Lepisosteus oculatus: one gene and its partner. The protein of the gene in region 1 interacts with the protein of each later gene in a pairwise test. Links are inferred from orthologs where the notes say so. Each region holds a gene or a part of one and is shown in the gene's direction. Other genes may lie near its edges. The genes, in order: naif1 and sox14.

What was found.
Region 2: the proteins of naif1 (region 1) and sox14 interact in binary tests that used the Homo sapiens proteins (3 or more experiments, as listed by UniProt). The two-hybrid records come from large-scale screens. The link is inferred for Lepisosteus oculatus from reciprocal best matches to the Homo sapiens genes NAIF1 and SOX14.

The regions. Positions count from the first base shown.
Region 1 is NC_090719.1:15,239,684-15,251,765, forward strand, and holds naif1 (nuclear apoptosis-inducing factor 1), read left to right. Parts: upstream 1-7,093; 5' UTR 7,094-7,216; coding exon 7,217-7,658; intron 7,659-8,662; coding exon 8,663-8,716; intron 8,717-9,463; coding exon 9,464-9,939; 3' UTR 9,940-11,003; downstream 11,004-12,082. Other genes in the region: calcium-binding mitochondrial carrier protein SCaMC-2-B, read right to left, coding at 2,986-3,318. UniProt on the Homo sapiens protein: Induces apoptosis.
Region 2 is NC_090708.1:12,130,840-12,143,113, forward strand, and holds sox14 (transcription factor Sox-14), read left to right. Parts: upstream 1-7,679; 5' UTR 7,680-8,073; coding exon 8,074-8,790; 3' UTR 8,791-9,622; downstream 9,623-12,274. UniProt on the Homo sapiens protein: Acts as a negative regulator of transcription.

The DNA.
Region 1 (12,082 bases):
GACGTATCCGTACGTGATGCTGTATTTCAACAGCCCACGACTGACCCGAGAAAATCCAGCCCAGAACATTTGCAAACGTTCCCAACGTCACCACACCTGATTTGCATCGCAAATCAAAACGCCCTGTTTCACTCCGAGGTTTGTTGACAAAGAAAGCCACAGCAAACCTCAACTCATCTCACTTACACTAATCCTCAAGAAAACAATGAACTGATAGGAGAGGAGGGGAGGGGTGAGTGTTCTCCTCGTCTGGGTTAGAAGATCTGAATGTAAGACTACTGTGAACAATCGCTAAACAGGCTCCACTGTGTATTGCTCAGGAGCGTTAAACAACTTCTCAAAGACAGAGTCGATACTTCCAGGGAGCACACCCGGCCCGTTATTCACAGGGGGCAGCCGGTCAGACTTAAACCCAGACGGTCAACGGCACAAACAAAGCTTGAACTGAGTTTTATTCTCCTTTCCTTCCAATGGCACAAGTATGGATCGCTTGTCCGTTTTCTAGCTGCTGCATCCAATCCAGGGCAAGCCGAGTGCCAGGACGGGATGCCAACTAACCTGGCAGCATGTTTCTGGACTGTGGGAGGAAACGCGCTTGAACCAGGGGAGAACATACAGACTCCACACAGACAGCACCCCAGGGCCAGAACCGAAACCTGGGCCCCGGCGCTGCGAGGCGGAAACGCTAACCCCTGTGCCCCCCGTTTGACAGGATCTCCTGTCAAACAGACAAAGGTTTGCTAACCCAGCAGACTTTCCCAGTGGAATCGGATTTCTGGTCTAAATTCTTGAGAGGCCTTGACACCCCTAATTAAAAAGAAAGCACAAAAGCATAATTCCACGAAAAAAAATGATACTGTAATTGTCATTGTCATGTAAATCCCCTGCTCCAGCCAGTTTTCGAGAAGCCTGTAATTGTGAGTGTGACTGCATTAAGCCCAGTGAATCACAAGACTCATCCGCACCCAACCTCGCTCCCTGCTGGACCGCGGCTGGCTGCACACCACAGCCCGGAGTCAGAACACACTGGAATCATACCACACCGCACAGGACAGTCAACCGAGAGAAACTGGCAGACCTCGGAGCCACGAGAGGGCGAAAGCAGCCACTCATATTCAGAGACTCACCCCTGCTCACGAACGGCAATTCAACACCTTCGCTGTCAGAGTGGGGTCCTCCACACTCAGCAACACAGGATTCAACACCTTCGCTAACTGGTCAGGACGCTCAGGTGGGCTGAGGGGATTAAACTGCTCACCAGCAGTCTGCATTCCTGAGGGTGACGGGAAGTGATTCATGATCGCGAACGGACGCTTCACATTCAGAGGTGCGGCCTGCCACTCAGCTGCTCAGCAGACAGCAAGAGAAAGAAAGCAGAGACCCCTCTCCTGCAGCCCCTCTGCGTATGCGTGCAGATCGGCACTCCTCTGCCGCTGCTTCCTTCCTGCAGCGAGCACACATCTCTTTCTCAAGGGCTGTACAATCCCGCGGGGGCGACCTCACGAGAGGTCACGAGAGGTCACGACCCACGATGAGGTTTGTCCTTAGGGGAAGCGCACGTGTGTTTCTTCAGCCTCCACAACGACAGGCCCGCGTTTACGTTCATAAAATCGCTTACACACCACCCGACACAGCATATTGTTCTTCAAACATTTGTAATCGCATTAAAAAGGCTTTGAAAAGAACCTTTTAAAGGTGCTATATCTAATAAAGTCATACAGTATCAGAGAGTATATGAGGATATGAGGGTTCTGGCAGTCCGGCTGGGCCCTGAGCTTCTTCAGAGACACTCTGTTGCTCAGGTCCAGTGTCCAGTAGGACAGGAGCTGGTGTCCTTGTGCTCTCACGTGTCCTTCAGGGCTGCCGGTCACTGAGGAGCTCCGATTCCTCACACAGCTCGAGCCCCGGCGACTCATTCGCACTTGGCCCTGGGATTCAGGAATCCAGGAATCCGATGAAGTCCGGGGTGAAATCTACCAGACGGGACTGGAGCTGACCCCGGTTTCCAGCTCTGGACGCCCGCAGAGAGAGCTCTGCAGCTCTTCCAACTTGTCAGCACATCTAGACCGGGGAAGACCCGTTTACCTCAGCCAATGTATTTGATCTTGAGGCGGATATCTGACTGCATCGTTTCAGGTCTGTTATGTGCCGATATCGGTGTGCAGACCACACAAAGTGAGACAGCCCTACGTTATAGTGCCACTTCACCCGAGCACTCCGATTCCTAAATAACAGCTGCCCATCCTCACTAAGACTATAAACAACATTTAAGAATGTAGCCCTTACTTCTGAGTAACTGGGACTGTTGACATGCAGTCTTTGGTGAAGCTTCTTTCCTTCCTGCAGCTGCTGTGGGACAGAGCGCTGTCCCACCACAGGACACATCAGAGACATCCCCCCCTGCAACACGTCCACACACTGACACTCCAGACCAGACCAATGTCACCAGTAAAGCACACACACTCCGAACAGCTCTAGCCCTGATCGCCACCGGCTTCTCCGAGCATAGGAGTTATTGGCAACAAGTCATTCCTGTTTCGTGACACATTCCAGTGCTTTGGAAGACCACTACACAGAAAACACCTGTGTAGCCGTCTTAAAACGTGCGACATGTTGGCATCTCCCAACCGCATATACCTCTGTCGCGATATTATCATCCTTATAATAGTTGTTGCATTTATAAAATTGTCTAAACTTTTACCCTAGACCGTGCGAGACCACCGCGACCGCTTCTCCTCGGGTGTATTAAACCCGCGGCAGATCGACAACTTCTTCGAGAGGGTGTTTGCGGGAGACTGCGTTTTGCTCGGAACCGAACCGGGCGAGAGACGACGGTAAAGTAAACCTCAGACCCAGCGAGCCTGGCGGCCGGGCAGCCTGGCGCCGAGCCGACGGACACACACGTGCGAGTCAGCCTGCCCCCGCTCGGACCGGAGGCCCGTCCCGCCCCCAGCGGACCCCCGCTCGGACCCCCGCTCCACTCACCCTGAGCTCCTTCTCGGTGCGGTGCACGCCCAGCCTCGGGAGCCCGATGGTGAGGTCGTTCACGCAGATGCCGCCGTCCTGGTTCACGTCCAGGATCTGGAACAGGACCTTCAGGCGGTGCTCGCGCTCGTGCTCGTGCTCCGGGTCCCAGCCGCCGGGGTTCGGGTTCGGGCTCGGTTCCGGCTCGGGCCCGGCCGGCGGCTCCGGGGGCCGGGGCGGGCGGGGGGTGCCCGCCCCGCCGCCGGGGTCCGAGCCGGGTCCCGAACCGGGTCCGGGATCCACCGGGTCGCACTGGCAGAAGACGCCGCCGAGCACCGGCCTGTGCTGCTCCATCGCTCTGGGGTCTCTACAGACAGATGTTTCTTCTTTTTCCCTCCTTTCTTTCCCGTCCTGTTGGCTTCGCTACCGTTTCTGGCTCAACGCCGGACGCGTGAGGACTTGTTTTAAAATAAATAAAAAATAAATAAATGAATGAACCTTAAAAAAAGGAGGAGGAGGATGGAGAGAAAGGGAATAATTGCTGCACAGTTTCGGAAATCCCAGTCTGAATCTCCCCTCTGCCCCAGCGGGCGGAGTGTGGGCTCCGGGACAGCGGTCTCTGCTCCTCCTCAATTACACACTCGGACTCGGGCCCCGATCTGCTCCGATCGGTCCGTTTCCCTCCCAGGACTGGCAGCTCCGCTCCCGAGGGCCGGGTCTGTGTGCGGGACGGGTCCGGGCGGGCTTGGCTCTGGGTCCTGACAGCTGAGACGGCCGACAGACGCCGGTGAGTGGAGGCCGGATTCAGGAAGTGAGTCACCGGCTGCCGGCGGGGTGGGCGGGGCCCGGCGCGGATCGACGGGCCTCGCAGCCAATCGCCCTCCCCCGTGTCCTCCTCCGGAGGCCACACGCCCCGCCCCTCTCCTTACCAAAGCACGTTTTTGTCACACGGCCGAGACAACTGTGCTTGCATAGACCCTCTTCAAGAGTTTCACTTGTAACTGTGGGGGAAACAAAAAGACTCTAGGTATTGCGTGTACTAGGCATTCCAATCACAATGTTGCAAAATAGCTTATGGTGACGCCGGTTTTTCTCTGTCGCCTGCTGCAAAGAAATGACGCCTTCATTGTGTAACATGATGCAATTTTTGGGATTGCAGCGTAAGGCTGATTCCTCGAATCGCAAGAGTGAAGAGCGATAGAAAAAAAAGAAGTCAGATGGCGCACATGAATAAGAAAAAATACACATCAATTAGTGAAAACGTCTGACGGGATTTCGGACTTAATTTAATTTTAAACAGCATTGCAACCGCGATTTAATCACCGTGGGTTCTCAAGTGTGCTGATAAAATCAGCCCAAGGGTATTAAAAGTGGATGTCAGGAACTACCCCCCACCGCGCTGCTGAATTCAGCTCGCTGGGGTCTTTGAAGACATGGTGCGTTGATGCTCCTGAAAACCTACCCGACAAGATGGAACTGCTTGTGTTCTGCAGGAACCCATCTTGTGCTGTAATACCAGCATGCATCCATCAGTTGTATTACGAGAGTGAATCCTGGATGCATATCTACAGGACCAAATGAAGACCTAGTCTAGTCCTCTCTTAATGTGAAAAGACACCCCACACTACAATTTGTGTTTCAAAGGTCATTTACTCTTGTAAGATAAGCCCCTCAACATTGAATTTAAGTAAACAGTGAGGCAAGTCTTTTTAAATCACATTTTACAAGGGTGTTGAAAGTCTAAGAAGCACATTCCTAGCCTTGGGCTGGAGTAAAGATAGTTGCACGTAGAGAGGAGGGCGAATAAAATCATTGCACAATACTTTACTCTTAAAAGTATTGGGGAACCCCCACCCCTCAAACAGCACAGGCTCACCTTCTGTGTTTGCACTGCTGCCCCCGAAACAGAGCTTTTTATAAGGCTGCAAGACATACAACTGTTGTCCTTGGTGTGACAGCACTGACTGCCATATAGTCAGGGATACGGACAGATAACTAACAAGATCACTTGGCCAAGGTAAAGGAACCCCAGAAAAACAGATCAGTTCTCAGTGGCAAGAAATATAGATCTGGTTAGAGGATGGTCAGCCAGATGTCCTTCACCTTCCCCAGCTAAGGCAACCCACAGGTCCCAGTTCCGAGCTCAGTTCAGTGTACTTCTCATGCGCTCAAGTGCAATGAAATGCTTATTTGCATGTCTGCTCTGATACATAGACATCAAGTAAGCACCAAACTTAAAACACAGAACAGCAGCAGCAACCACAAGTTAAATAACATCAGCTTAAAAAAAGTCAGACAAGCAGCGTGATAAAAACACATCCGTGTGAGCCAGGGGAAGGGGTGGAGTTCGGTAATCTGACAGCTTGTGGGAAGAAACTCTCTCTGAATCTAGAGGTTTGTGCCTTTATGTTCCTACAACGCTGACCAGAGGGAAGGGGGAGAAAAGTGAGAAACCAGGATGACTGGTGTGCTTAACGATACTTCCAGCCTTCCTGAGACAGCGAGTTGTAAAAATGTTCCAATGATGGACAGGGCTGACCTGCTCACCCCCTGTGACACCTTCCGGTCAGACAGTGAAAACCAGTGGAACACGCACTTCAGACCGACACACTGTACTCCTCAACACAGTCCAGAGCCACAAGCTGTTCAAGATCTACTCACCGCTTATAGAGGATCAACATTTTCAGATGGTTTTGTGAGCATATTAGGAATCAGAAACTCTCATAGATTTAAGATTTTATGTTTCTGTGTACTTTTGTCATGCTCTGAAATTTGGTTTAGTATGATTTGCAAACATGAAAATCTGCATCTATTGGCAGAAATTCTACAAAATCGCAGGGAGCAGTGCAGATTATCACCGGCTCTGCGCTGTAGCCCTGCCTCCTTCTCCAGGCGAGTAGCAGAAGTAGGTGTTTTGTGTAAGAAATACTACTTATATGATGTAACCTGCAGTGCTGTTTTTTTTTGTGCAAATCATCCTAAATTAGGAAATGTGTCCAGAAGATTTTTCTTGGCTTTTCCATTCATCTGTAACCTCTCTCACAGAGCACAAAGAGGCACATGAGCATTTCGAGATGTCGAATTTAATAACCAAAAATAAACCAACCCCCGTGCCCAGTCTCTTTAAAAATAAAAACATTTATGACAGTGGAGTTTCTGCTGGTTTTAAAACGTTTCAGCATTCACCATTCGTGCAAAGTGAACAGTTCAGATTATCTTGGGGAGTTTTTTCTCCAGCAAAGGCGATGGCTGTTTACAAACAAACTTTCAGAGTTTAGAGGCATCTGTGCAATAACTTCCTCACTGGGTGGAGGCTGTAGCTGTAAACAGTAGAAAGATGAAAGCAGCCGGAGGTTTGTTAGATGATAAAAATCTCTTCTTGCAAAACAAGTTGGTACAGAGATACAGTGTAAGTGGATATTAGAAGGTAAGATCATATTTGATAACCTGAGAATAAATTACAAAGTTAAAGGACATATTTTCCTAGGCGTAAACATTTAACACTATTTTTCAATATTTGTATTTGAAGTAACGTACAACGTGAAACCCATTTATAAAAGCAAACAGAGGCTACACGCTCAGTTACCCATTACAACCAGGGCTGTGCAGAATTAAAACCGCCAAGAGCAACTACAACCTTTAGCAAAATGAAAAGCTGTCTTTAAAGCGGATCACTCCCGTTAGTTTAAATATCCGCAAAGATGCGTATAATTTAGTAGCATCAACGGAGATGGGGGCGGGGGGGACAACTCACGAAGCCTTTTTTTTTATTTTTTACAAGGTTATTTTACAGACCGAAAAAAATCCCACACAGGTTTCGAAAGCCGCCGCGATTAGATGCGGTACAGAGATTGTTATATAAAAAAAAACTTTGCGTACAAAAAATAAACAGCAGTCGGCTTAAAATGCCTTTCCGACCGCTTCTCCACACAGCGCCCAGACTGCACACTCCCTGCTCCCCGAGTGCTCGTCTGCTCAACGGGGCCTCAATGGCGCCTACGCTTCCTGTGATTGACAGGCTGGCGTGCGAATCGCTGAAGGGAACCGAGGGGGAGCCCCCCGGGCCCCAACCAATGAAACCGCGGCGTGCGGAGATGGGCGGGGCCCGAGCCATTACGGACGTAAACGTTGCCTGCAAGAGGAAGAAGTCGATTCTGGAAGCCATTACGCTGCGCAGATCTATAGAGTAAATCCCACGGTTTCTACGCACATTACGTACATTATTCTTAAAAAAAGAAGAATTTCTAATAAAATGGCATCTCAGGCCAAGAAGAGGAAAATGAATTTCTCGGAGCGGGAGGTGGAGATTATAGTGGAGGAGATGGAGAAACAGAAGCACGTCCTGGTTAACCACTTCAATGCCGGTGTCACACACATCACCAAGAACAACGCGTGGGTCGAGATCCTGAAGCGGGTGAACGCCGTGACGACCTGCCTGCGGGAGCTGGCCGAGGTCAAGAAGAAGTGGTCGGACCTGAAGACCGAGGTCCGGCGGAAGGTGGCCCAGGCGCGGGCGGCGATGGAGGGGTCCGGCGACTGCACCTCGGTGCCGGTGATCCTCACCTCCATGCAGCAGCGCATCTGCAACCTGCTGGGGGAGGCGACCATCATCAGCCTACCTGCGGGGGACGGGGGCACGGAGATCACGGTGCCCGTGCCCATGAGCTCGGCCACCACAGTGACTCTGACCCAGAGTAAGTGCGCCGTGAACACCGGCTCCGTCAGTGCACGGGGAGAGAGACATCCCTTTCATACCCGGTCACTCAGAGAATATACAGAGCTGTGCATTGCCGGAGATGGCTAACAACGCGAACAGGAACAGCTATAGAAGTGGCTTTTGAAAATGTTAGTTAAAAAAAGAAAAAATACACGCAATAAGAAGCGCACGGTTACAACGCTGTTCTGCACTGGCGTTAGCACGTCTCGAAAGTCGAGCTCGTTCACGTTTTCCCAGCCTAGAGGAGACGTCTTTTTCATTGCACTGCAACATCAGCCTCAAACGTCTAGGCGCCGGACTCGGCTTTTGCAGAGTAAATAAAGCAGCCGAGTTAACTGCCTGGGAGACAAACAGTCTCACGCCTCCTCGTGATTTCTTTCATGTGTCAGTAGGTGGGGCCTTTTGCGATTGGATGCCGTCTTCAAAATCGCACCTGTGTCACAGTCTGAGACTCATATGAGTCGCGCTATTAATAGATGCGCGGTTCAGATTACACGTGTACAGTTATCAGGCTGCACAGACCAGCGTCTGGGCGGCGGTGACGCTAAGGAGGCTGAGCTTCGGGATAAACGCACCGCAGACGAACACTTCTCTGTTCTGGGTAGAACTGTAGTCGGGTTTATGTGTTGTGGCCTCTAATTCAAGGATGTTTGCTCCCTAATGATGGTAGTTTTGTGAGGTGCTCAGGAAATCCATGTGTCACAAGGAGTTAAGCTGACTCCCCTCATGAGTCAAAATAAAAAGCGAAGATGTGCTTCCTGTTCCCAGTTTCAGATGCACTTTTCTTCATGTTCCACCTGCTGGCTTCCTCTGGCTCCTGCTTTCAGAGCGGATGTACTGGGTGAGCCGGTGACCGCGCAGCAGAGGTGCAGGGTGCCCAGTGTGCTCTGCTGCACCAGTACAGTGCTGCAGGGAGCAGGCCAGGCCCTGCAGGGTCTCTCAGCGAGGCAGGGACTCACCGTCTTTATTTTTAACTTGCAGACATTCAGACGGCTTCCTCTTCGGCAGCTTGTGAAGTACAGAAAGCGCTAGAAGGTAAAACATTTTTCTTAAGAGTTGTTTTTACACCTGAGCCATTCCCGAGAAGCCAGGTGGCCCCTCTGTACGGTGAGCGCGAGGTCGCGGGGCCGCAGGCCGGCCAGCTGACGCAGACGTGGACAGCTCAAGGATTCGATTATTGCCATGCTCAAAATGGGGGAAAAAAAAAAGTACTAATGTGGTCCTTTTGTGTAAAATGAGTACATTCAAATTAAATGTCTTTGTTATTTAAGTATTCTTGTTTCCTGACCTACTGGCATTGGATAATACTAAACCTGGAGCTCCTGGATGGAGTTGAAGTTTTTGCGCGGAGAGTCCAGCGCAGATCTTGTGCGTTAGTCCAGAATAATGTGTTCAGAAGGAATACATTCCACTGCAGGACCGTGTTGAGCCCTGGGTGGCACACAGGTGTAGTGGTGAGCATCCCTGTGCTGCTGCCCCGAGGTCCGGGGTTCAGTTCCTGGGGTGCTGTCGGTGTGGAGTTTGTATGTTCTCCCCACATGGTCCCCAAATTGACCCGTCTGTGTGTCTGTGTGTCTGTGTGTCTGTGTGTCTGTGTGTCTGTGTGTCTGTGTGTCTGTGTGTCTGTGTGTCTGTGTGTGTTGTAGCCCTGAGGTCCTGGGTTCAGTTCCTGGGGTGCTGTCTGTGTGTGAGTGTGTGTGGAGTTTGTGAGTGTGTGTGCCCTGCGATGGCCAGACTCCAGAGCCTTCTCAGTGTTTGTCTGTTGCTTCTTCACGCCGGCAGCCGAGACCACCTACCACGCGCTGGAGGAAGGGGTGGTGGAGTACTGCACGACCGAAGCCCCCGCCGCCGTGGCGACGGAGACCCCGGTGGAGATGATCTCGGCCCAGGCCGAGTGCGCCATCAAGCCCCAGGAGCTGAAGAGCCGCATCGCCCTCAACTCGGCCAAGCTGCTGCAGGAGCAGAAGGTGACCAACCTGCACGTGCGGGAGATCGCGCAGCACCTGGAGACCCAGAACGACCTGCTGCAGATGATCCGCCGCTCGCAGGAGGCGCAGGCCTGCGCCCAGGAGCGCCAGGCCCAGGCGCTGGAGGGCACGCAGGCCGCGCTCATCGCCCTCATTCAGATGCTGCGCCCAGCGCTGAAGGACTTCCGCAAGTTCCTGCAGAGCTCCGGCGGCAGCCCGGCCCCGGGGCCCGGCACAGACTCCGGCGAGCCCAAACCAAGGCCCCCGGCGCCGGAGGAGGACGCGCAGTAGGACCCCATCGCGGGCCTGGGCGGGCCAGGCGGGGCCAGACTCTCGTTCGTTCGCGAACAAAGAGAAAAATTGCCGGTTGCGGCGCCGAGGCGGTGCTCTGTAGTGCATTTATTGAAAAGTTAATAGGGATTCCGGACTTTTTTTTGTTCCTCCAGCGAGCACCAAGATGCATCGCGCTGTATGAGCGGTGCGCTGGTTGCGCAGCCCCCTGGCTGGAGGGCATCTGGAAATCGACCTTCGCGCCTCTGTGCAAGCCCCAGCCTGGCCGAGGACGAGGGGAACACCAGGCTTGGCGCACGCGGTTGGACCTAACTGCCCTGTGGGAGCCACCCTCATCCTGGTGTGGGCTTTCGTTTCGGTGGGGGTGGGGAGGGTATTAAGTGTAGCTGTCAGCTGTACGTGAGTGAGAGTTGCAATTTCACAAGTTTTGTTTTTTTCAAATGCAGTTCAGCAATGGTGAACGGTATTCACTCGCTGAGACCTGTGCGGACCTCAAATAAGCCCAGCCTGATGACGGGCATCTTTCTCTCGGAAAGCCGGTACAAAGGAAGAGGTGTAGATCATGACAGACCTCTCTTACACTACCCCAGACCCCTGTGGGCGTGCTGGGAACGGGGGCCGAATACAGACAGGCGACCGTGTCTGACCATGTCTGACCGTGTCCGGGGTGATTTGTTGTGCAGGAGCTCCCCCTGGCGGTGTCTGGCCAGATGGCAGTTCTTCAGGAGCGCCGTGCGGAAAGAGACACGGTGTGGCCCGTGGCATCCCGCCCCGTGTAGTGTGTGTCCGGGTCCGTCACGCCGGCGCGGGGGGGCTTTGGGGCTGGGGGGGTCGTTGTCAGGGTTTTATTAAATCTGGGACAACACTCAGCTCATCTTGGCTTGAACTGTTATTTCAGCACTTGCCTAGTTCTTTTTATTACTGCCTTCCCCCCTTTGTATTTTTATTTTTTATCCCTGCGGAAGTGAGAAGAGGGAGGAATGCATTCAGTCGGGCGTCTTATCGACTCTTGTTTCGTTTTCCCTTTTTTTTTTCCTTCTCCAATAAAAAAATGATGCCTCCTGTTACACTGTCCTTTTTTTTTTTTTTTTTTTTTTTTTTTTTACATGAACTCACGATTTTGATCTGTCTCTGGGGTTCTGCAATGTTGAAGGTAACTCTGCCCACGGACCGTGGAATTCTACAGTTTTATTGCAGCATCTCTGCTCCCTGGGTTAAAAAGCCAGCCTTCTACATGACTGCCATGATATGAGATACACTTTGTTGAGCCAGCTTATGGATGCCCTTGTAATAATATGATTTTAGTCCCTGCAGTTTCTGCACTTTGACACTGTGAGACCTGGACCTCCTTCTCAGCACTGGGAGAGCTTTCTTTCTGCTGAGAACACACACACACACACAGCCTGGCTTTACACAGTCGTCCTGCCCACCTCAAACTCTGGATTTCAAGGCATGACAGTTCAAGATGAAGAAATTATAGATATGTGATCCTTTCATTAAAAGGATAGTTACATACAAATTACCTCAGAGCCTGGGTAGATGTATTCCAGTCGCGCAGTGAAATAAAAAATCAGACCACCTCTGTAGCTGAGGACGGGGCTGGAACAGAACCAGACGACAACAGGCCTCCCAGGAGCTCAGTTTGAGAGCCCTGTCCATGGAGTTACTGAAAACATTGTTGGCTGTGACTGCTCAGCTGTGTGATTTGTACAGTCTGTTTGTACGTGCCAAGATTACAAGTGTGCTTCAGCAATTTGAACGCGAGTGCTAATGGGGATATTCTTTCATTGTGTGCTGGATCTGCGTGATTAGCTACACACCTACGTTTGAAAAGCCCCAGTCTGAGTGCCTGGTAAATTAGACAAACGATTAAGAGGATATCACTTTCCACCCAAATATAAGTCTTATTATCATAACACGGTATTATTTGGCAGCTGTACGACTTTGAATCCGAGTAAGACAATGGAAAGTACTGTTTAGTGAGTATGGCACCCATCCACCTCTGAGCATCAGCCCGCTTCGTGATACGAACGGATATGACTTAATTCAGACAGCAGGTGGCGCTCTATACAAAGTTTCTCCCCCTCTCTTTCACGTGGCTCCCCAACGTTATGTTTAAACCTTTATTTTTAGCGTTTCACAA
Region 2 (12,274 bases), on another chromosome or scaffold:
GGTATCCACAGCAGAAAATATCACATTCTCATCTCACAATACAAGCACAAGAAGCACAAGGACGTGCTTCCTGCTTTACTGCTTCACTGGTGAACCCATCTGGTGTATTGCTTATATTACCTCATTCTGTAGTGTTGATGAACATTGGTTGGTGATGGACCACTGTGTGTATTCCTTCTCTTTAAAAATTGGCTATTTAGCTGCTTCCTCACAGTTGAACTGCTCAGGTATGGACTATTATGACCTGGTGCTTCTGAAGCAGTGGAAATGGCAGTGCAGAAATGAGCATCAAGATGGAACTGTTATGTCATTAACATCACGCCCCCAGAGGACTCATCGCCCTCAGTCAACACCCTCCCATTGCTCCTGTGTTTCTCTGCAAGACTCCTAGTTTTACGGACTCCAACCTCGGCTTGTTTTCTGACAACGTCTCTTGGTTCTTGATTTGATTGTAGTGGATTCTTCTGCCTTTTGACCCTGGCCTGGACTTTGGACTTGCAAATTTGGATTAGTGTCTACAAGAAAATTTACGTTCACAGGATTCTGCATAGGGTCCTTAGACACAAGATCGTTACAGGAGCATAATGATGCATCAGTCCTGACCTGGTGTCATGACTCATGGTCTCCTTGGTCATGACCTATTATTAATAGATTGTGTTTGGCTAGAATATCTTGCCAGGTAAGAAGTTCCTGGTTCTGATAACCCCAAACAATGAGCAACACAATGCTACATTTGTCCATTTTCCAAAATATTGATAGTACAAAGGCACTGTCCTCATATGTGGGACATATCCCTTTCTTCCTGTTTTTATATCTTTGTTTCTTCCGGCTTTGATTTTCATTAAGCTGAACCTCCCCTCTGTGCCCAATCAATTCTCTCTCAAGTTCTAGTGCTTATTCAATCATCAACCTCACTCACGTGTATCACAGCCAATCACAAATAAATTAGTAATTAAGAATAGTGCCAAAAACGAATTATCAATATATGCACGGAGCTATATGTTTCTTTTGATGCTCAATTTAAAAGTAGGAATGAGAATTGTAGTCCATATTCTGTAACATCACTCAGTATTTAAATCAATAAAAGATGGTAAATATGACACACCTTGTTCACTTGTGTCTTACAGTCTTATACACATTGTTGGCTTAGTGACACCAGAGAGAGCACTCACACAGTCTGGTCCAGTTACACATTTTATTGCAGTGGTAGCATGAAAGGATGAAAGGGAAACCACAGAGATCTCTAAGCCTCCTTCTCTCTTTGATAAAGCATTCTTAGCAAGTTTTCTGATCATTTAAAGGTGAGCATGGCCATCAATACTCATCCCAAACACGAAAAGACTAAATGCATCTTTCTGTGGCACAATGCTGGACCTGGTTCCTATTCCAGATAACAGCAGGGATCTTTCACATCTTGTTTATTATTGTGGTGCAAAATGCGAGTTAACTCTAGAGGTTCAAAAACAACATGAAGTAAACCACCTTAGAGTATATGTGTCAGACATTGCCAAAAGAAGAAAAGAGTCAGCCTTCCAGCTCAAAAGCAAAGCATATTCATGACTGTTATCAGGCTGTTTTTTTCCAACCAGTGCTTTGAACTGTTCATTCTGTTGTATGTACAAGGCTGTGTTGTTGCTTATGGTTACATTTCCAACATCCTATATCTTGTTTCTTGGGTTTTGTCCAGTTGCTCTATTCTGGTGAAACAAAAATAGCCTGTTGGATGCTATCCTTAATTGTTGACCTAATACTATGCAAACGTTTGTGTTCAAGTGTCTTTTTGGAGTGCTGTGAGGTTTTATTAGTCATGGAAAGTAAGTTATTGACCTTTATAATAGGCATAAAAAGCTGTTCAACTTTCAAAGATTGTACTGAGCATTCGGGCTCATAGCAAATATGCTGTTTTTTTTCTTATTAGAGAATGTGCACCCGTTAACGTTAGTTTGAAATAAAATCCATAAATCCTTTTATATTTTAAAATGTAATTTATTATTTCATGCAAAATCACAACCATTTCAGAGTCCACTACTTTTCATTTTAGATTTAAACTGAAGCGACTCTACACTTGACCCAGATAGCACGTACATTACACGTGGATAGTTTAGTAAAATAAGTGTTTCGGATAACCAACAGACATAAAATTCGATGGCTGGAGTCCTACTTGTCCCTAAAGTTTCAGGTCATTTATGTAACAAAGTTAAAGACATATTAACCTTACCGGACCATTACGTCAGTACATTGTCAGTACAGTAATGGTTAGGGGCTGCAGACTCCAGCCTGGAGGCCTGTGGGTTCAAGTCCTGTGCTGGGCGCTTTGTTGCGTCTTTGAGTGAGGCAGACAGTTCTACTGCATAAACGAGTCTCCAAATCGCCATTGCAACTGAGACTTTGATCATAATTGAGTTCCCCGGTGAAGTTAAGTAGTATACAGAAGAGAAACCTTTAGTTTTCTTCCACTGCAGAAACATATTTGAATTATGTTTCTAGGTCGAAACTTTACCGTTATTTTTCGTGACAGTAGTTTGCAACTGATAAAACACAAATCAGAAATAAGAGTAAACAATATATTGGCATCAAGAACGGATGAAAGGGCATTTTATTTTGTGTGGGCGTATGTGTTCTATATATGAAAACATTAAACACATTTATTTAAAAAAAACGCTTGTGTTATAACACTCTTATAACTGCAACGATCGCAGCCTAACTCGGTTAGAAAATAGCAGTTTTGAACCTGTATTAATAGTCATACAGAAAGAAACAATAAATTATGTTAATCCCGTATGATGTAAAACAGCACATTTCATATCTGATTCTGAATAAATACTCAAATACACCATCATAACCAAACACATTTTATACATTTATAATGTTCTTGTAAGCTTATATCTGGAAGCAGGGCTACAATAAAGTTTTGAGCATCAAATTATGCGTTTAGCCTCTTTTCATTACTCGAAAAATATACTCTAAGACCTGGAGTTCAAATGAGTTCTCAGAGTCCTTCATTTTCCAAAATATAGGCCTACCATAAACTATTTTCTTTATTCAGACGCTTGCGAAATAACAAAACATCATTTAAAAGTACATTTAAATCCACTCATAGACTGATAGCACATACTTTACAGGGAAGTCGGTCCCAATTTTACGCGCTCCATCTAAAATCCACTCCGAAACCGAGGTTTACCACATTCAACGAAGACTGACTCTGAAATGTTGGCTGAACTCCCTCGTTTGTACCATAGACAGGTGTTCAACAAATCAATACTGAGGATATATATACTAATATATTGAGGATATTTATGCCTTTTTAGTGCTTTACAATCATGTTAGTAATAATAAGTTGCTTTGTAAGAATGTATTTTTCCACCTTAATTGGAATAAAGAAAACCCTATCACATTTCCCCTAACACTCTTAAATAGCATTATTATGCACTAATGACGTGACACTATTAATAGTGAACAATGCCCGTCTGTCACTCTCACAATATTCCGTCTGTATCCGTGGATGTATACTATTGCAACATCAATTTAATAAATACCATTATTTATTCTTTGCTGTTTGGGGTTCTGCTTATATTGCATTTAATGGTTATATAGAAGACACCACTGTCAGGGTTGTTGTAATGAAAGGCTTTCTCTGTGAAGCACAAATAAAATATTTTCCTTCCAGTTGTAAATTCCGCGATGTTATGGATTGTGTAGGGGGCAACCCCTTCCAGAGGAAAGGTGCTAATCTAGGTATTGTTGGGAAGAAAAAAACGTAACGCGTTAATAAAACCTAGTCTTTGCCGCTTGCCTTTCCCCGACAAAACGAACACTTTTCATCCTGTGAAACTGCCACGGTTACAACACGTGGAGACGTTACCTCTTGACTTTCGTTTCCTTCCGCTACTGTTAAGCGATTTAGTTCACACAAAAATACGAAGTTTATACATTAGAAGCAATTTGCAAGTTGAAACCGAAACAGGGAAAGTGGTTATACTGTATGAATCTGCGTGGTGTTCTGTGCTATAGCCTTTTAATACTGATTATCCTATCCCGTTTCTCTTGCTTTCATCGATTTCAAAAGCTTCTGTACGCTTCCTGATGCGGTATCTTGTAACAGTGACGGTATATTAGAATGTCACATCGCATCAGTACCTCAAGCTTAAATAAAATAATGGAGTGCTGTAGGATTGCTAGACTGGCACACTGTTAACAACAGCAAGAATCCTAGAAATGCACACCATTTAGCTATCTGTGACGGTCGTCTTGAAAACACAAAGTCCTTCTTTATGTGTTTCTGTGCGTATACGTACCCACTTGGTTTGTTCATACATTTTACCAGGGATCTCGATTTACAACACATAGTCTATTGTATACGTACCTGTGTGTTCCCAAATTCCGAATCCAGGTCTAGCATTAGTTTACAGCTGACGAGTTTTTGAAATGGCCTTATCGCCCTATGTTTAGACGCAATTAATGCCTTTCAAAAGTCGTTTTAACAACCATCGCTTATTATCACTGTATTATGTAGTGGGGCATAAGTCAATTAATTAAGGATAAAAAGGCAATATTTTAATGAACTCCTAATGCTCAATAAAAAGTTAAAATTGTGAATGAGAAGCGTATGAAACTGATATGAGTAGTATTCGTCTGTTTCCCCCCACTTGATTTTTCATCATCTAAAGACTGAGATGTATGATAGCACCTCTATTGAGCTGAAATACAGGCAGCGTGCCTTAAATCGAAAAAGCAGGTGTGTTTTAAGTTAAAGCACTGGATTTGAGAGCTTCTTTGATTTTGTGTGTGTGCATATATTTCATTGGACTATCTGTTTATTCCAAATATAGAGGATGGGTAACCTTGAGTACCACATCACTTTTGTTTCCTCCACTCTTTCACTTCTGCCACCTTTTCACTTCCTGATTTTCCCTTTTCATTTACTGACGCTTACTTACCACTTAATTACGGGTTTCGCATTCTCAGCTAATTCGGTGCGCCGAGCCTCTTTTCATGTAAATATAGACGTTGTCTGCTGGAATGTGATGTGCCCTGATAATTCTTGTTAATTCCTGCCGTAATTTATATTGTCGCAATTATAACGCTTTGATGTTCTCGGAATTTCGAGCTGCGTTGCTTACAAAACGCTGGGGAAAAGAGACGACGTTTAAAAAAGTAGAAATATTACAGGAACGAAAAAGGAAAGTAAAACGGGAAAAAAAATCAGATCTGCTCAGGTTCTGTAATCTAATACTTCTATAGAGACTCTAAAGAACAATAGTGAAGATAATTTGAATGTTGATTTTGTTCTAAGTGTACAACTGAAGAAAGAACAGGAATACTTAATATCTTACCCCCCCCTCCGTAAATTTGAATATTTATGGAAAAAACAATTCACTGGCATCAACTTCTCCTTTTCTAGGGAAAAAAAACATCTGAAACATCCCGTGTTACATTATAATACTTAATGCATTTTATTGTGAAGCCAAAATTCTAAACGAACTTAACAGTTTCTTGTTTAATTTTCATTCTCTCTGACTTAACCTTCGTGACCCGATTACAAGCTAAATAAAACGTTTCACCACAGCAGCGAATTACTTCAATTAGCCAAACACATGCTTTAAGTCATTATTTCACGGCTTGTAACAGCAACAACAACAGCACACACAATCAGAATAATAGAAAATGAAAACATACAGCGAGAAAGCCAGCCGTCTCCATAGATGCAGAGCGGAGGGAAAGTAAAAGTTCCCTGGGAGACCAAGCAGGTGAGGCGCCACATCTCAAAAGAGGAATTGAAAGTTCGCAAAATTTGACTTTGTTTTGGGTTAGTGTTTAGGTGGCAGGTACTCTGCAGTCGAGCACAACCTACTGGATTAACTACGGACTTCTCTCCCTCTTCAAAGCATATACTGTACGCTAGCTATGAGGGTTTTACGGGATTTGGATAAAAATGCAACAGCTGTATGTAATAATAGGGGTAAACATAAAAATGTACACCATATCTCATTGTAATATGTTAAAACTTTAAACTAAGGACTAAATTGAAAGGCAATATTTGAATTAATTATATGGTTGTACCCAACGACTGCAAATGTACTGTATAGCATACAAAGAGCGCATTAGTCTTCAAAAGAAAACATTCAAATATACTTTATATAATATGCTATATATATTTATGGTGAAACATATTGCTATTTCACTTATGACTGTGTGTTTTACATTTTATTTCTCATTCAATTTCTTTTAAAATTGTATTTTTTTTATTTTCTGTTTTTATGAATGAAATACCTAAGTGATTTTTTTAAAACGACACACATTTAATATTTTCAGTCCTTGTTCATATTTCAGCTTCGTGCCAGACTCATTTTATCAGGGATCACTTATACATTTCACTTAATAATCACAACTGAGCGAGTCATACATCAACCTCGTTTTGCCTGCGGGTCACTGAAGCAGTGATCTGTTTGAACAGACGAATTTGCATGTTGTAACTATTATTACGTGCTATCCTCTTTTGGGGAAGCACACTCGCGTACTAAATAGCTAAAAATCTAAATTGCAAGACCATTGCCAGATGATAGGTGTGTCACATTGTACTTGGGACATATGTTAAAACGGGACAGTAAAAAATAAACAATGATTCGTATGGAATTAGAAACCATTGTGGGACAAACTAGGTGTACCGACGTAATGTATTTTAAAACGGCACCACAATCATAAAAGATCATTCAGAATTCCCCTTTTAACATTCCACATTGTCACATTTACTGTAAATGTTATCATACTTCATTTGTTGTTGTTGTTGTTGTTTTTAGTTTTGAAACATTGCAAACAGCACAATTGTATCTTCCACGTTTAGTTTTCGATTCTTGGGGGCTCAGAACGCGACCATTAAATCAGAATCCAGGCATGTTCTACACGAGGTCGTTGTGTACTGAGATTAGTGCTGCAAAAACAGGTGCAAAAAATGAAAGCTTTAACCAGCTACGTCCCAAAGGAATTCTGGACAATTGTTCTCATTTAATACACATTTCCCTTCAGGGGATTGTCACATTAGACAGACTATTATTTATTGAATTGAGCTCTTGCTAGTTGATTTCCTAGACTGCTAATAATATTTAGAATGTGGTTTCATCGTTTTGAAGTGTAGAACTAATTTCCTCGAGTAATGTTTGGTAAATATTTGGTCAAAATATTCGACACTATGAATTTCCACATATACGAACAGTATATAAAGATAACGGTTTCAAACTGTAGAAAAGGGTGTCTAAAGTCGGCTTCTAGTTGTATTTTCAGTGACAACATTTTGCATTGGTATTAGAAACGGTAATGTTTTGTAAGCAAATATGTAAAACGGACTTTTGAATTCTTTGGTTAAGTCGTTTGCATAGACTGGGATTCAGAGAGGTTCGTTTGCCGCTATCTCCTTAGGATTTGTACCCTTAAAACCCTGGTTTTATTGCAAGAAGGCTGAAGGGCTATGTTTGTACCATTTTGAGTAAATGGATTCGGGCAGGGAAAAAAAGTAACCCTTTTTTTTCCTCCCCAATCTTTGTTTATGTAGTAATATACATATTTTTTGTAAAGGTATTACGTCTCTCTCTCCGTGCTGATTGGGCGCCCAGGTTGGTAAGTGAACGCCCTGCGATTATGTCAGATTGCGTGCAGACCAAACCAGCCCAGCCTTTGAACTTCACCGCTTTTGGCTCTCATTCACCAGCTTTTCCTCATTTCCAAGCCAGGTGCTTTGCAAGGCGAGACACCTCCAAGAAAAATACAAACAGTTTAAGCCTAATCGCCATCGGAACTCGCATCACCTTGGTGGATCTTGCATATGTACGGCTACCATACATTGCCACTGAAGTACAGAACCCATTTTTTTTTCAAGAAGAAAATATTTATTCTCGTGTTGATTACTGGAGAATCGGCCCCTGGATTTTTTATTCTTCTTCGTTTTTTAGCCTTTTTTCCACTCATCTGAGAACTGGTATGATCAGTTACGATCTACGGGACAGGTGAACTGATTTCCTGCTTGGTGAACTAACTTCTGTTGTTCTTATAAAAGGGGATAAAAAAAGGACGGTATTTAAAATGTCAAAGCCTGTAGATCACATTAAAAGACCCATGAATGCCTTCATGGTTTGGTCCCGGGGCCAAAGGAGGAAAATGGCACAGGAAAACCCCAAAATGCACAATTCGGAAATCAGCAAAAGACTCGGAGCCGAATGGAAACTGCTTTCGGAATCTGAAAAGCGACCTTACATCGACGAGGCGAAGAGACTGAGAGCGCAGCACATGAAAGAACACCCAGATTACAAGTACAGACCTAGACGCAAACCCAAGAATTTGCTGAAGAAAGACAGGTATGTCTTTCCCTTACCCTACCTCGGGGACACGGATCATTTGAAAGGACTCCCGGTCTCGGCCACAGACTCCCTTTTGGGTTCATCAGAAAAAGCCAGGGCGTTCCTCCCACCGACTTCAGCGCCTTACTCCTTTCTCGACCCCAGCCAGTTCAGCTCCAGTGCCATTCAGAAGATGGCAGAGGTGCCCCACACTTTGACCACCAGCACTTTGCCCTACGCCTCCTCCTTAGGATACCAGAACGGCGCTTTCGGCAGTTTGAGCTGCCCCAGTCAGCACACTCACACCCACCCGTCACCCACAAACCCGGGTTACGTGGTTCCCTGTAACTGTACCGCCTGGTCAGCGTCTAGTTTACAGCCCCCAGTTGCCTACATACTTTTCCCAGGTATGACCAAGACTGGAATAGACCCCTACTCTTCAGCCCACGCCGCTGCTATGTAACATTAAGCCAGATTTATTTCTGAAACTTGAATACTACAATGCATGTAAATAAAAGACTGTGAGAAAAAAAAAAACTTAAAGAAATGAATGACCAATCACTAACTGAAGCCGTGGACTTCTGTTTTAAAGAAAACGAACAAAAAACTTTTTATGATTATTAACAGGACGCTTCTACAAAGACCTCAGCACGGAACTTGGAATAGCTATAAGGCAGGCGCCCCGAGAACTGTAAGAATTGTAAATGTTAAAACGTTTATTGCTGGCTACCGAAATAAAAAGGCGGCCTTTAAGTTTATTTATTATGTACATTTTGATGCTATAATAACTGTTTTGTTTTAATGATTAATATTATAATTATTTCCAAAACATTTTTGGTTTGCACAGTTCAGAAGTACCATTTTCATGTAAAAATATAATAATATCTTGACACAGAATTTTTTGAATCACAAGTGTCAAAAATAGGAGTTCTGAATTTTTAAAAAAATATGCGGAATATATTGTTTATATTTATGGAACAGGCACAATAAATTAGATTGTTTATTTAAAATATCCAATGAAAAAAGTCAGTCCTTATGCTTTTTTATTTTATTTTTTACTTTTTTGTGGTCCAGTGCAAATAGTCACACGTTACATTTAATTTTAGAGAGCACTTCAAATATGAAGTCAGGCAGTTTAATGTTGTATTTTTTAACTAAAATGGTAATTTAATCATGTTAAAGTATGTCATGGAAAGAAAAAAAAATGTATCCAGAAGGATGTTACCTCGTATCTCTGTTCATTTGACGGGCACAGACGTTTTGAATAAAGACAATCTGTCTTCAAAAATATAAAATATGTTGTATGATTATATATTGCAAATATTACTTATAATTTAGTTGCGTGTGTTAGAAAAAAAACCGATTTGGACACATCCCCTGCATCCAAAAATGAATCCTGGTGGCATTTGGCCTACTGCTCAAACTTCATAAGATTAAGATTTTTCTCCGTGTTACAAACTGAGGGATGCTTGTGTTAAAGACAAGTGCACGAACATAAGAGGGATATATAATTGACACGTTGTGAAACTTCTGAAGAGCTTGTTTTTCACTCAATTTTATCTTTTAGTCCGTGTGACCTGGAGTTGAATCTCAAACTCGTGCCAAAGATACAAGGTGAACTATGGTTTAAGATGCGATGTTTTTCTAGTTTAATACTATATTAAATACCACAGGCTTATGTTTTGTTTACTTAAGAGTGCAATTCAGTTTTCTTCTGAATATTAGTCTTGTTACGTGTTTTTATCTTTATGTAGTGAAATTGCTCTAAATCTGTCGTTGGTGTATTTGTGGATACGCTTCTTTGGGAAATACACTTGCTTGCGATTCGGTGTGAAAAGGCTACAGCGTTGAAGCGTAGCAAGGAAATAAAGGCAGCTTAACCATGTTGTGCTAGACAATTAGTAGTGTTTGAAAAACTGTTAGCAGGGATCATTTATCAGCCCGGTTGTTAAAGGAAGCTGGGGCTTTTCATTAAAGAGAGTAGCAGTTGTCCATCTGGTTCCACTGAATTGCAATGTGATCCGTCTTGTCTGCGCAACGTTTCCAGAAGTGTAGTAGCGAGACTGTCAGAAAAATGGCACAACACAATTAACAAACACGGGACCCGGTAACATAATAGAAGCCTCAAAATACGAGCGGATGAATTAAAGATCAGGCTGGGACAAACAAAAGAGGGAAAATCAGTTTAGAGAGTGGGGGTGGTTAGAAAGCTTATCCACGCTGTTTTAGCTTCACAAAACACTTCACACAGAAGGACAATTAGTGAAAAGAGTGACTCGAGCAGCATTCAAAGGTGAACAATTATCGCTTTTGCTTTGGCGCAGCTTTCGAGTTAATTTCTTAAACGGAGTAGGGCGGAGTGCATCTAGGGCGCTTCGAGAAAAAGTGAACGAACCGGGCTTTGATAATAGATGCACTGGGAAGGTCAGCAACAAAGAGCCGCGGCCCACCTGATGTAACTCGGACTGACATTTGCTGTCACCTCTTATCCGGTTTTGCGTGTGTCCATGTCAGACAGGTCTACTCCATTTAAGCTTTGCAAAACAAAAATAAATATCAATAGTAGTGAGATTGGGCAAGACTGCGAATAGTCCCTTTACATATGCTTCCCATTAAGAATAAAAAGCAAATGTATAGTATTGATCGCGTATGCTACATTTGAAGAAACTGAGAATTTCATGCTTTTAGTTACTGCTGAACATTTAATGTTTCAGGTATAACTTGATTCTAGTTCTCAGGCTACATACCCTTTCGTACTTAATTAAACAAGTGAAGCACATACCAAGAAAAGGAAAACGTGTTTAGTTGTAGCTCTTAATTTCCCCTTTGGTCGCATGGAGTCACGAATCATTTTAATCACTGCTGAATTGTTGTTTGCCGTTTGAGGTGCGTATTTCACGTGGCTTGTAATTTTGCAGTTTTGCCATGTTCATTTTTATTTCGCAGACAAAGGTTCGCAGACCTGTTTGTAATCTGGTTCCTAAAACCTGGTCTCTGCCTTCAGTTGTGCAAGCAATGTTATTCAATCATCGTGACACTGAAGTGAAACGATTACTACGTTTGATATCCAAACGTGTAGGAGAGCGCTTCCCTCGAGGGCATTTCTTCTTGTCCGACCTGTTTGACAGCACCTTGTCTGTCTTTCAGAGGAAAATCATTAAAACGCACGAGATGCTTGTCTGTACTTAGACAACATTTCTTAACTTCAGCTGTGCAGACGGGCACGTGAAGGTCTGTACGGGTTGAGGAGAGGTTGTAGCTGAAAACCACAGCAATTGTTTTTATCTTATTATTATCGCCCCAATTGTAACGTGTGCCCTGCGAGCTGTTACTGGTTCCAATGATTTTGATCACGAAATGCGCAACGTTATAAATGTTATCTTCAATAAGAAAAAAACATACAACTACTTTTTAAGAAGCAGAGGCTGTAGCATTTTAAGCTGGTTTTCCTTTAGCGTCGCTTAAAAAAAGAACTGCTAGCATTGCAGTTAGTGAAACTATTACAGAACTGAGTTGTTTTGCTATACAGGCATGGTGATTTTCTTATACATAATGGAACTGGGAAAGGTGATCTATAAGCTACCAAGCAGGCAATTAGTTTGAACTTAGTTGTAGTCTAATTTGCTTTACTTTGTAGAAGAACTGATAAGTTCTAAATCCTCATGTTGGAATACAACTCTTAAAATACTACCACCGTGAGAAACAAATCTTTTTTATTAAGGTTGCGTAATAGGAAGTGATGTAGAGGCCCACTGAAATGAGAAGATGTATAAGAAAAACATTAGTAACATTCTCATTGTAATGTTAGCAAATTCTTATTTACTATTTAAAACTATTTAATATAGTTTTCAAGAAAAGAAGGTCCTGGAAGACTTGTTATCGTCCAATTTAAGGAATGACGTTTCCTAAGTAGTGCGAGATCGTTTTCCATATTGCAAGGGTGCTGT